Lytechinus pictus: one gene and its partner. The protein of the gene in region 1 purifies or fractionates together with the protein of each later gene. This does not show direct contact. Links are inferred from orthologs where the notes say so. Each region holds a gene or a part of one and is shown in the gene's direction. Other genes may lie near its edges.

Evidence for each region.
Region 2: the proteins of glucose-6-phosphate 1-dehydrogenase X-like (region 1) and histidine--tRNA ligase-like fractionate together in Homo sapiens (co-fractionation; 3 studies listed by BioGRID). This does not show direct contact. The link is inferred for Lytechinus pictus from reciprocal best matches to the Homo sapiens genes G6PD and HARS1.

What each region holds. Positions count from the first base shown.
Region 1 is NC_087247.1:6,506,579-6,513,809, reverse strand, and holds the start of glucose-6-phosphate 1-dehydrogenase X-like, read left to right. Parts: upstream 1-4,203; 5' UTR 4,204-4,236; intron 4,237-7,231. UniProt on the Homo sapiens protein: Catalyzes the rate-limiting step of the oxidative pentose-phosphate pathway, which represents a route for the dissimilation of carbohydrates besides glycolysis.
Region 2 is NC_087249.1:38,482,500-38,489,908, reverse strand, and holds the start of histidine--tRNA ligase-like, read left to right. Parts: upstream 1-4,329; 5' UTR 4,330-4,358; coding exon 4,359-4,472; intron 4,473-5,769; exon of another isoform or gene 5,770-6,263; coding exon of another isoform or gene 6,264-6,374; intron 6,375-7,409. UniProt on the Homo sapiens protein: Catalyzes the ATP-dependent ligation of histidine to the 3'-end of its cognate tRNA, via the formation of an aminoacyl-adenylate intermediate (His-AMP). Plays a role in axon guidance.

The sequences.
Region 1 (7,231 bases):
TGGCATTCTTTTTCATATTAATTAGTAGATAATAAATACCCTTACTTTTTTATCATGCATGATGGGGAAATTATAAAGCATAACATGTGGGTCTCATAATCTATGTCTTAAATATTCAAATTCCATACGATAGTACTGCATTACCATCATACCTGGGGCCCGTCTTACAAAGAGTTGCGATTGATCCGATCAATCGCAACTATGGAAAGCCAGCAAAGTCAACATATAAAATGCATGTTTGTTCAAAAAAAATCTAGATATGAATGTATATCCATAAATTAATTGATTTCTTGACAATTTTTTGTGATCTCCTTTGTTTACTTAGGACATTTTGCAAATTTCCTGTAGAAAAAATTATGACACTGATTGATTTCCATAACGTTACGATTGATTGATCTCCATAGAGTTACGAGGGATTGGATCAATCGTAACTCTTTTTAAGACGGGGCCCTGAATATCCCTACTTATATACCATGGATTTTAAAGTATTAATGTGGACTATGTTAATTATTAGACGGTCGGTGAAAAATGCATTTGCAATTATTCTCTCTCATCCTTTTTTTTTCTACCAAGCTGAAGTTTGCCTCTGGCGGCAGTCCTGTCCCCGTCGCTTTATCAAATCAACTCCCATCATGCACCTGCCCTAATGAGATTGAAAATGCATAATGAAACCCACCAAATCTAATTAGTTTGTCACCGTGCATTTCACATAATATATGTCGTGTTAAGTGCACTTTTGAGCCTTGGAAGTCCGTCCAAAGATTCTCTATTAAAAGGGTCACTAATGGGAATTATACTTGACTCTATCATCTAACATCTAATGGCCATGGAATCATTTTTTTTTCAGCGACTTATTATCTGAAAATTAATCTGGTGTTTTTTTTATTGAACATTCTTTTTCTGTACTATTTTCTTTTTCCTTTAAAATGGAATCTTTGAGTGCTCATCATACCGTCTTTGGATAACCATGGGGCCCTTTTTTTTTATTAACATACAGTACACTTTATAGTGAAGTGAAATATTTTGAGTATGCAATGAATGGATGTGGAAGTATTCCTGGGTCCTGAATGGTTATGGGGGGGGGGGGAACGTTCCATGGATGGTGTACTTCCGGGGGGGGGGGGTGTTATTCAAATAATTATTCAGAAATAAGGGGATTTCCCTTTTCAGTGCCATATGATATAAATGTACATTGTGTCTAGACCATTTCTCAAAAGTAAATTTACCTGTACTTAGTACTGAATGATCTGTGTTGGTACATGTAGAAATGGAGGTGGCACCTCTGGTAAAAGATATATTGGAAATCTCACAAATTGATAAAGGCTGCAGTGGATACTTGGACATTTTGAGCAAATTTTATAAATTTTCCAGTGTGTTGAGAACAAAAGTTAAGATTTTCAGTAACATATATACATATTAAACACTGTATTTCTGATATGTAAATGAATAATCAGTTAATTCAAACAAGGACATTGAATTAATTTAAACTTGTGTACTTCCTGATTCGAACCATTTTCATGAATTCAGTAAGACTGTCTCCCATAGTCATGATTTGTGATTTTTATTCAAAGCCAAAGTCCACCCCAGCAACGAGTTGATGATAAAGAAATATGAATCAAGCCTAACACTGAAAATTTCATTACATTCGGATGTAAAATAAGGAAGTATCGTAGTTTTGAGTAGTAGAGTCTCACTTATTTTCACTCAGCACTAGTCAGTATACCTACCCGTGATAATGATGTAATTTTATCCATGAAGAAATCAAATCCAAGTTTTGTCTGGGAAAAGTAAATTACTTTGATGATGGCCTGAAAAGTAAAGAAATTGAGACCAGAGAACTTAATCTGTTTAATTGTAAAAGGCAATCACATTTTATCTGAACATCAGTTACCTGCAGGGATTTTAATCATATTAATTAAGGCAGTCTTCCAATGCATTTTGCCCCTTTGCCTTTTGAATTAAAACTGCTCTAATTCAGGCAGAACAAGATGATTGATACAAATATTTTAATTAAATGCAGCAATCTGTTCACCCGGGGGGGGGGGGGGGGGGAGTCAAACATCATGCTGTACACATGCTTGACCAAAAAATGCATTTTAAGGGGTGTTTGGAAATATTTTGTCATGCAAGTGTACAGCAAAACATTTGACTGCCCCCCCCCCCCCACCCGTGGGTCTTTCCACTCTTCTCTCAAAAAAGACATTAGGGAATGATACATGTTACTCTACTACAGCCCTGGGCTACTATTCATGTGCTTGAGAATTTATTTCTTAGATTGAATGAAGCAGTTTCGACTATTCGTGTGCTTGAGATTTTATTTCATGGATTTAATGAGGCAGTTTTGACTACTATTCATGTGCTTTAGATTTAATTTCATAGAATGAATGAGGCAGTTTTTAATCATTTTTGTTAATATTTTGTTATGGCTTGCATTAATTAATTCTAGAATATTGCTGTCATTTTTGTTATCATTTTTTTATGGTTACCAATTTGTAGCCCCATGCCTGGAAATCTAGAATAACTCAGGCTCAGGGGAAGAATTTTCATATAATCAAAAACTACTGCAAATTCTATCAGATTTGCTGAGAGCAAATTAGGCAGTGAATATCAATGACAAAACCCAAACCCTTCATTAAAAAAATATGTAATTTCAAATCATGCTCATTGTGCAATGAGTTTGAAGATTTTTTGCAAGTCATGCTGCAGGATGCATTCATTATCTTACACACACAGAATTTGAAGTTTGATAAGAGAATATACAAAGCAAACGTATCTGCCTCTTGAGCCGAATCATTATTTGCCTTTTAAATTGCTAAAAGATTCAAATAAAATAATATTGATGTGAAATGGGTGAAATTTTTACCAGTTTGAAGATGCTTGAAAATATCTCAAACTGAATATTTTTTATTGATTTCCGCCTGACATGTATACGAGTATATAGAAGTGGAGCCGCCATAGATTTTTTTAAATTTGCAATAAAAATTGTTAACAGTCGATATTTTATTCATAAGAGCTGGCCGAGTTTGTTGATTTTAAGTAGATAATGGATTGTATGCCAATGAACAAATTAAAATGAATACAGTCACCTTTTCCCACTACATCCTGAAAGCCTGAAAGGCCAGCTGTAGTTAAAGGGTACGAGGCAATGTCATTGGCCAATATTGATCCATTTCTATTCATTTCCCATCTAGTCTGTTAATAGGTTGTTTGATTAATAGGCCTCGCAGGTGAATCGGTAGGATGATGATGGGTACAGTCAGGTACATGGATGAAATTCATTAATTGATTGATGGATGGATGGATAGATAGATAGATAGATAGATAGATAGATAGATAGATAGATAGATAGATAGATAGATAGATAGATAGATAGATAGATAGACAGATACACAGACAGACAGATATACATTAGATAGATAGATAGACAGATGGATGGATGGATGGATAGATGGATAGATATATAGATAGATGTAGATAGATAAATAAATAGATAGATGTAGATAGATAAATAGATATATGTAGATAGATAGATAGATGTAGATAGATAGATAGATAGATGTAGATACATGTAGATAGATAGATAGATAGATAGATAGATAGATACATGTAGATAGATAGATATATGTAGATAGATAGATAGATATATGTAGATAGATAGATAGATAGATAGATGTAGATAGATATAAAGATAGATAGATAGATGTAGATAGATAGATAGATATATAGATGTAGATAGATAGATAGATAGATAGATCTATGTAGATAGATAGATATATCTATGTAGATAGATAGATAGATAGATGTAGATAGATAGATAGATTGATAGATGTAGGTAGATAGATAATGTAGATAGATAGATAGAGAGATGGGGGTATTGAGGGGAAGGTGTAGGAGATGAGGGGGGGGGGGAGGGAGGAGAGAAGGGGGTAGGGAGAATGAAGGAGTGCATATGGATGTTTTAATGTACACCAGACAAATATAAATATTTTTATTATTTATGCCTGTCATGTTCATGTAGGATTTTTATCTTGGTGATAATTTCTTATGAAAACATACTACATGTAACACACTGGTCATGAGTATCAATGCAATTTTTCAACAACTTCAAAAAGATTTATATATGGTATCATCAAAACAATTGTTTATTCTTGTTTTTCTATATGAATTACCCCTTTCTCTCGTTGTTTTATCTTTGCAGGGAGATTTGGCAAAGAAGAAGATCTATCCAACTCTATGGTAAGTTTTTTTTTAATAAGAATTGATATATAGGCCTATATGCAGGAAATGTATAGTGCTAGAGGGGTATTTAAAAAAAAGTTCAAAAATATTAGGACAGCTCAGAAGAAGCTTAATTACAACAGTGTGACATGGATGGCAACCTGCTTTTTCCTAGAGTTGGTTCTCTTCAGATATTATGAGACTGTTTTCAATGTGAGGTTGCCCCCATTTCAATATATTTCTAAAATACAACTTTTTCTGAGCGTCCTGCAATTTTTATTTGAAATATTAGGTGTTAACACCCAACTGACGATATTGTACATGTCACTCTACTTTAGGAAGTTCTTAAACATAACAGGATGAAGTCATGATACCATACAATTTTACATATATCTACTAGAAGGTGTGCTTTGCATTTCGTACATGCAGGCGTGTGATTCACATTTATAATCAGTGTTTGCATTCACTAAAATCAGTTACAAAGTCAATCAACTTTTTTAAACATCGATCAGTAATACAAATTCAGCTGCATACACTGACAGACTCATTAGCCAATAGATCAACGGTATTTACCTTTTCTTCAGTTATGTTTGTCAGGGAACGGGAATGGATATTACAGCCCTCTTTCAGACCAGCAAAATCAGTTGCGTTCGACGACAATTTTAGGGTTGTTTTAATTTTTTTTATTTTGGGGGGGGGGGGCGGTGGGTGGTGGGATGGGTGTAGGTTTTAATGATATGTGTTAAATTTGCAAGAAACATCACTTCCAAATAGTCATTTTGTGCGTTTGATTCGTAATTTCAATTGAAATACTATCATTGTCAATTGACTATTTTGACCAACTGGTTGACTGGGGGGTGTTTCACAAACATAAAACTATGACTTAAGTTAGGACACACTTAAATGCCGACGTGTACATGATATGCAACGCGCAATCTTTTTTATCAATATGTAGTAGTGCGCGTCCTTTTGGCATGATCTGACCAATGCTGTCATGCCTTTTATACCGTGCGCAACTAGATCTTTGTGAAACACCCCCTGATTCTAATGCAGTTTGCTATTGTTAGAAATGCACAGAAATAAAGAGAAAGGTGCTTGGCTGTTGTCAAGCTTCCTCTCATCCTCATCATCATCCCTTGTAATATATGTAGTCTTAATGGTTCAGAGCTTCAGACTCCCTGATGAGTGATGTCCGAATACCTTCAAACCATGTGTACGATCGATCGGCACATACACTTGTGTGATACATGCCACACCGAGTTCTGCTAGAAGCTTCATAATTGAGGAAGCAGTTTTATTTGTTATGCAAAATGTGTGTTTAAAAGATTGGGAACAACCAATTCCCCACCAACATGTAATTTTAAACTTCCTGGAGATAAAGATTTTTGTTTTGTGGTTTTCTCCAGTAGTTTTTATTCTCATTTTTTATGGAACCATAACCTAAAAGTGGGGCCAAAGCTCATTGTACATACAAAGGGAATTATTTTGCTTCAAAAAATAAGTTGCAGTTGAGTAATGAGAAAAAACAGCAAATTTTCAGAGGTAGTGAGGAAGTAAAATAATTTCTTTTTAAATTACTATCCGTATTGTTACTGGTATGACCGTATGACAGTGACATTGAAGTCTGAATGTGGAGCCTAAGCAAGTGCAGGAAATTTATCCCAACTGAAAAGCCATTAAAACCGTTCAGCAGCGCTCATTTATTAGGCCGTGCTGCTGCATACATATATGCAACCACCCATTTCTAAGCATTTGGATGTATGAAAAACATCCATCACTCAAAATGCAAAAATCCAAACATGGAGGATTGAATTTGGGTTCTACATTAGTTTCATGAGCTGTTGTCTCATCAACCAGAGTTGCCCGATCTTCAGATTCTAGCTTAATCGGCCCTTCTAATACCCCTTTCATAAACCCAATTATGCGGCTAATAGCAGCATAATTTGGTCGTAAAATCGGAGGAGGACCAGAGTTATCCGCATTATTTTGATGCTGCAATTATCCGCATAATAGCAGCATCGGGACAAGATTTTGAGTTTATGAACGTATTTCCAAATAATGCGGATAATTGCCATGGTGCGGTCACAAGGTCACCCTTTTCCAACACAACCGTATCGGAGGGGGCGTGTCCAGTTGTCATGACGATTATCCGCCTTTTTCAGGACGGGCGCTCGTAAAAATAATGCGGATAATTTTCGGAGTTTGTGAAAGCAATTTTTGTTGAATTATCCGCATTACTATTAGGCGGCTAATTGGAGGATAGGTTTATGAAAGGGGTATGAGGTTCAAGAAACCCCATCCCCATCAGCCCAAATGGGTGGAATTGTCACTTGAGTGTTGAATGTAACCATGTGTTTGTAGATTATGTATACTTATGGCTCTATGTTTGAATAACGTGGGATGGTATGGTATCGTGAACAATAAATTATCCGAAGCCAAAACCTGAGTGTGTCTCCACCTGTAAATTAGCTGAATAATTCACAAAATAGAGTGCTATTAATACCCCATTAATCTTAGTTGATTTGGTATTCCAATCTCCAATCTCAAGTCAATGAAATATTGAAATAATTTTATCTTCAACACGGATAATCATTAGACTGTTCTAATCTCGATTATTTGCCAAATCATAAAATACGAAATTGACTTGGGACTAGAATATCAAAATCATGGAAATGATATGTCCCGAATATTAACTGCAACTTCCTTTCAAATAATCTTTGAGAATTTTTTTGATCAAGATAATTTGTTAGGTCAGAAATTGCAGGATAAGTTTTTTAAAAATAGGGCTGATGGGAGACTTACTACAGTGCTGGCAAGATCATGATTTTATTTTTTAGATTAGACAAGAGGGTGTTTACTTGTGAGCATTGAAGAAGCATGGTTGCTAAAATAAGTATGATTTTATGATGCGTAGGAGCATGAAGTTTGGTTATCAGAAATGGGCCCAACTGGCCAACACCCACAAAGAAGAAAAAGTCTATGCATTTGAATCAACTACATAGGACCAACATGT
Region 2 (7,409 bases), on another chromosome or scaffold:
TAAGTTTGATATACAATACTGCCATTTCATTTTTTTTCGTTATTCTTCAAAGGAATAATTTATATTTTTTGGAAAAAAAAAGTTAAAGAATGAAGTAACCATTTTTTTAAATACAAAAATTAGTAATATATCTTTTGATCTTTCAAAGATATTTAGTGAAATTAGCGGACTCAAAATGCTTTTAAATTCGATCTGCCAATTAAATTTTTTTTTTTTTAGCCTCCCGAATTTGGGGGTGCGGTTAGTCCTTTGCCAGGACTGTTCTGCTTTTCAGTTGATCAATAACACAATCCTCGACCTCAACGCCCGAAATGAAAACAGCCCCACGAGGGGCGTGAAAGAGGGATAGCGCGCAGGGGAGAATGAAGCAAGGGGAGAGAAATAACAAGTACACCGACGTCTAGAATCTAGACTAGGGTGCGGTTAATGCACGGCCGCGGTTTATACTCCGAAAAATATGGTAATGTAAAAATGCATAAATTTCAATTTTTGAATGGTTCCTGATGACTTATTTTTGTTTTATTTTTGGAAACGGGTTTGAAATGATTTGTCTATACTGAAGCCTGGGGCCCGTTTCTCAACACATGGACAAGTTAGTCATATCTTTATCCACCAACCACGGAGTTAGTTCCAATCTTACTAAACCTGTTTCTCGAAAGGCTTCCTAACTAGAATACCTTGATATCGATACTATCGGTAAAAAGAGCAGACGAGATGTAGCCTTAGTCACAACAGAGCATAATTTTCCAAAATAATAATTATGACAAAATTGCAAATATTATGATGAATTGGGAAATAAATCTTTTCAAAATAATAGCACAGGTGAATTATGCATCATACATACTTAGACCATGAAGACTGGAGCATTCAATTGCAGAGAAAATTAAATTATGAATACTTAATTTCATGACTAAAAAATCACTTGTGGACGTTGAGATGGGTACCCCCGGGATACCCAATTTTAATAGTTTACGAAAGTAAACCATAACGGTTTTCTATCTCTGTAAAATGATGATAATTATACGGACTTTTACGATTCCAAACGTCATCAAAATATAGTTTAACGAAATATTTTTAATCATTGATACCGAAAGATACGATATTGGACAAATTATATGCATAAATTAGAGATAGAATTTATCCAACTGTTTATAGGGTTCTGAAAACAGCAAATACGAGTTCAGTTATGGATGGCCTGACGTGGTAGAATCTTTATCGATTAAATCATTTTACTATTTCAAAATGAATGGTTCTGTGGCGTTTACCAACAGTTTTTATAGTTTCTTTGTATTACAATTATCATTGAATGCATTAACCCACTTGTTTTGTGATGTAATTTCAACCTCTATGATTGATTACGTAAGATTATAATTTTAAAATATCTAGGCACTTTCGCATGTCATAGTCTACCCACGTGATGCCACTACGTCATTAAGAAAGAAGTTATGACAGGTTCGGAGGTGTCATAAATATTTAGTGAGGTTGTTGTACCCGATCTTGGTAAAGAGGGCTTCGTGAAACGGTTAGCGGACAAGTAGCTCACTATCTCCGATTTAGTCAAGAAGTTAGACTTATGACGGTGTTGAGAAACGGGCCCCTGAAGGTGCAGTAAAAACATTTCCAATTTTCTGAGAAATGACATTTTATGGATTTTTTACCACACAAGTACATAGTTTTATTGCACTCAATTCAATGGGAAATGTATAAAAATTAATGCTCATAATGGACAAGTCCTGCCCTTCCCCCCAAGCCAACCTTAACGTCTTCATTTGAGTTTGAGTTTTTGTACAGAAATCGAAGTTTGAATTCTAGTGTAGAAATCTAAATTCGATAAATAGGAAATGGTTGAAGTCCATTCTGAAATTGCTTATGTGTTATCTACTTAGTTAGATTTAAACAACAAAGTAGTCCACCCCAATCCGATTTTGATGAAATTTTCAGCGTTATGCTAGTTTGATTTTTCTCTATTTATTCAAATAGATCTATATTTTTCTGGGATGGACTTGGCCTCAAATTAAAATAGTTCAGGCTTGCTTGAAATTATCCATTTTATTACCGCATGCCTTTCCTGGTGTAGCTAACACAGAAAACGGTATGTGGAACCGCATTATGAACAGTAGGCATTTTTCAGGGATTTTCTTATCTTTATTTGTTCATTACTTTGTAATTATAGATTTTTCTGTACAATTAGGCAGATATTCATTTATAAGTTTTTATAATTCTGTGTAAGTTTTGGTCAATTCTGTAAATATTTGATTTTTTTGTCACTTGTTGCCATTACCAGAGTTTATTTTTAAGCAGTCATTCCTTGATCATTAGGCCTTTAAGCTTTGATTTCTATGAAGAACTCATCTTTTGGAAACTTGATAAGTGATGTCATCTGTTGAATGTGAACTTGACAACTTTAACCAAATAATCAGAATGTTACAACCAGTGTGATCCCAACATACAGGTTTGTTACACCTGGATGCTTTGTGGTCCCTAGATCTATCCCGGGATTCTGACCTTCCTCTTCATAACAATACCTCCTATCAACTCAAACCCAACACTTCATTAGGGCCGTCTGCACCCGCCCGAGTTTTCAAATTAGCGCGCTACTTCTGATCCGGCAAATTATCCCGATCTGAACAATCTCGAGATTATTTGTAATGGAAACACAATTATCGCGCTAGTTTGCAGGATTAATCTTGAGATTGCAACCCCAAGTTCGCAGGATTAATCTTGAGATTGCAACCCCAAGGCAACTTGGAATTATTTGCAAAATAGCGTGCTATTTTACGAATTATCCCGCTAATTCACAGGTGCAAACGCACTCTGGATTATTCATTCACGGCGTCAGACCATAATGCATGGATGCCACGCTCGAGCAGGAATCGCTCTTCTTGCGATGGTGGAGACGGGGTTTCTTGAATCTCGAGATTAATTGCGAAGAGGGCCGATCGGGCTAAAATCTCCAGATTGAGCAAACTCGGCTGGTGCAGCACCGCCTACTGTGTCTGGCACTGCATCTGGATCTAGTCTGCTATGCAAACCCTTCACTTGAGTTGTGGTCTGTATGTACTGTATGTGCATCCTATGATCCTACAATGACCTGTGTACAGAAGGCCTGAAATAATTTAGACACCGTTCTCACTACCTTCCTTAAACCAATTTAATGGAAACTAGTTTAGTGGAAAGTGGTTTAACACGTAGCAAGAACAGTCGAACCGGTCTTGGAAGCAATCTTCCAAACCAGTTCGGAATACCACCTCGCGATGTAGTTTTCAAGATCGCTTCGCCTCGATAAACCGGTTTTAGCGCAAGTGAGGACACAACCCTTCTTCGTGAAGCGATCTTCGCACATTTTGTGCGCGCTACTCCACGCGACAGGTGTAGAATGTCTACGCTGCGGTTTCGAATTTCGCGCGAAATGTGTCGCCCCACTGAGAGTGTTTCCATACATGTAGCAACAAGATTGCTTTACGTGAAGTGATTTTGAAAACCACTTTCGTGTGATCAAGTGGGAACGCTAGCAAAGCGATCTTCCAAACTGGTTTCCTGAACCGGTTTCCAGTAAACTAGTTTTAGAAAGCAAAATGTGAACGGTGTCTGAGTCATGTGTGAAGACCCATTTAGTTTCTGCCCCCAGACTAATCTTGATTGGTGTTATCGCTGGAGCAAGTTTAAACATCCCAAGACAGTAGACAACAAGGGCAGTGGAACGGTTTTGGAAGGGGGGGGGGGCTGACCTGGACATTTCTTAACCAAACCAAGTTTAAACAATGGTTTCATCTATAATCAAAGGTGCATTATGAACCCTGTTTGCAGTGTGATTAGTACAGATCAGAATCAGACCTTGATACTTTGTTGAAATTGCCCATTTGCTTTAATAGACTGTGATTCTGGAGAGCCTGTGAGCTGGCAGTGATTTAGATTCTGGTGTAGAGTTGCATACAGTACAGTACAGAAGGCCCAGCAAGTTGAATACTAGTCTTGTATGAAGGCCTTCTTGTTGATGAAAGTTTCAACCAGGGTCTATGCCTGCAGACTATAGCTAGTCTGCGTATCATGCTGCACATGTAGAATTTGTCAGCAGTTATTACAGGTATAATTCAATTCCTGCCAAACGCCTTTTCTCTGGACCAGGCCACTTGACATTTGGATAATTCAGCTGTCTTCATGGTTTTATAATAAAATGTGTCTTTTATAATTGAAAGACATCCAACATTTTGTTTGTTCTAAAATAAAACATTTTCATTGAACAAACCCTGGTTGTGATTGACTCTGTGTTAACGCTCCCAGATCCAGGGAAGCCTCCGGAATGGAGATTTTAACAAAGCTCTACTGATTACACGTTCATGTTCTATTGAGCTGACAACATGGATAATGACGTCTTCCTGAGGAGGCAGTATGTCATGTATCGTAGTATAGTGAATATTGGTTGTCTGATCAGAGAGCTCAAGCTTTCTAAACCTCTTCATTATAAACAGAGGGTAAGTCAGTCATTTCGTCTTCGGTGGGGATGTTTCACGTGGTAAAATTTCAACTTAAAATTCGGACCTTAAATACTGTATTTTCAGTCATTTTGGGTAGCATGCCTAAATTTTCTAGGCCATGGCCATACAGGTCCTTCGATGCCCTCATAAATTTCCTCGATACCCTTTCAAATATTTGTAGACTTAAGGCCAAAGGGTGATGCCCCTTTTTCTTGTGGCCTTGGTGCCCCATGGAAGTCAAAAGTAAATTTTACTATTGATCCCTTTTTTAATGGCCTTGGAGGCTCCCTAAGGTCAGCACTGCCTTTCCTTTCCTTTAAGTGCCCTTCCAAAAAATGTTATGACCCCGAATATATATATATCGGTCATACTTTGTTTATTATGTTTTCTATTTGAACTCCTTTTTTAAATTTTTGTTCACTTGTTTGAACATGTATCTTGCATTTTACTGTTGGGGGAACCGCCTATCGATTGGATATGAGTTGTATTCAAGACTTTTCAGAAGCGTTGTGGAATGACATTCTGAACTTGTTTTTTTTAATGAAACAGAAATGCCTATTAAAAACGAGCACATGCATAAAGTCTATCTCATATTTTCAATATAGATCTATCTTTATTTTCTATCTCTTCACAGGAATGTAGTATATGATTGAATGAATTATTTAAGGTGTTTACTTATGTCTTCAAGACAGAATGAGACACCTGTAGGTCTATTTGAATATATATGTAGTTTTCAGGCAGAGTGAGTTTTTATCTACCTCATCTCTTTTTTAATAAGTATGTGTAAGTTTGTGTCTATGTAAATTTATATGGATTTTTTGGGGGGACATTTTGTTGTAAGGTGTTTTATCCCTTGTTTACCTTTGTACATTTGAAATGAATTTATGTGAACATAAAAATTTATACTTTGAAAAGATTAATATAGAACAAGATACAATAAAAATGTACTTGAATGTACAGTATACTCTAAAAAATGTGCTTTCAGATGCAAACCATGAATCTGAAAATGGGAGCTTATTGTTATGCATCGTAACGTACATGTAACATTCGGTTGAATTGATTGATGTTGGTATTTTCCAATGTTAAATCTGTACATGTATCCAAGTTCATCTGGTGAGACATTGTGCAAATACAAATTAGTAATGCTCATTACAGTAAACACAAATAATGATTACTTGGTGAACTCTCAAAGAATTACTCTCCATTTGTTCTCCCTTCTCTCTTTCTCTCTCTCTCTCTCTTCCTGGACCTCAACACCTGTTGATCTTTGATGTCACCCGGATCTTCTTCCAACTGGCCTGGTAAATCTATCTGGGGCTCCCTCTAATGGTTTCCTGACATCAACGACCACCCTGGATTGGTTTCTGTAACGACGGATGCCAACTGCTGGATGAATCGTGTGATTACACTTCATAATGCCTGTGGAATATGCTCCGGACGTGCAATTGCGGGAAACGTCCTTTTGGGATCATTAATTTCACAACAACACTGTTGCCTGGATGTACAACTTATAATGACTTTTGACCTAAACCCTAATACATTCTGATTGGATCTGATTGATGACGGCCTACCTGGATGATTTGTGGACCATGTCACTTACTTCAATGGAATTAATGTCCGCAACAATGTTGTAATGATTACGCCCTCTTGTGTCGGGAATATGAAATCTAACTTCGGATTCTCGCACCTGGATTGGGAAAACTGATTGTGATGTGAAAATTGAACTGTTGCCATCTTGAAACAAAACATTAATGACTTTGTGTTCCTGGATTCTTTTCTGTGACATCAATGGCCTTAACCTGGGCAAAACTGTGCTGTCTCCGCCAACGTATCCTTCCTCGCGCCCTCCGCTGTTTTTCCATCTCCCCTGGATTGCATTCTGATCCATTTGATGAACAGGTTTGTTTACTCATTGAATATTGAATAATCTAATAGGCTCCATTCATCTTTGGCCCTCAGTAGCAGTAGTCCGGGTTATAATTGAGCAAGGTGCCACACGGAAAAGGAGAAATTTTCATATAGTGCTTCTAGACCAGTTTTTTACGCTGAATATGAATATATGAGGTAACCAGGCTGTATCCTGAAAATTAACCCGTGAGGGCGCTTTTTTCAAAATGGCCGCCAAATTTTCAGAACATTCGAATTTTCGTACATAGATTTTGACATAAACATTCCATTGCCACAAAGTTAGTGTCATATGAAAGACAAATAAATTTCCTACAATTTGGTACTATTTAGAGGGGATAAGTAGGTCATTTGGCTGAGATTTTAAGTAGAAACTGCATTTTTTGCCATTTTTTCCCAAAAATTGAAAATGTTGCAAATACATGATTTTACATAATTCTAAGAAAAATGGATCAATTACCTTGAAATGTTCCAGAAAACTTTATTGATATACTATTATTATGTGGATGAAATTCCAACTCTGTATCATTCTTTTTAGGAAAATTATAAGGTATCAAACTTGAATACTTCATTTTCAGAAATGCCACTTTTTGTATGCATTTCCATAGACTAATACGTATAACATGTATAATACATGTATGTATAATGTATAGTAACAAATGTAATGCAATTATCTCCGCTTTTCAACCACTTGGAGAGTCAAGAGTAGGCTTTTCTCTATCAGCTACATAAAAAAATGTTGGCACATCAAGGTCTGACCCTCTCATGGGGGTGGGGGTGTCGAAGTCACCCCCCCCCCCTGCCCTTGGCTATATCATGTTGTTGTATATTTGTTGGAAAAAATACTGTTTTTGGAGCACCCATGAGGCAACAGGCATATCTGCAATATACAGTTCAGCCACTTTGATTGCGGCTTTGAAACTACTTGGAGAGGAAACAGTAGGCTTTGTTCTACCAGCTACATCTAAAGAAGTGGCACATCGAAGCCTATATACCACTCTCGGGGGAGGGGGGCTTTGCTTAAAGGAC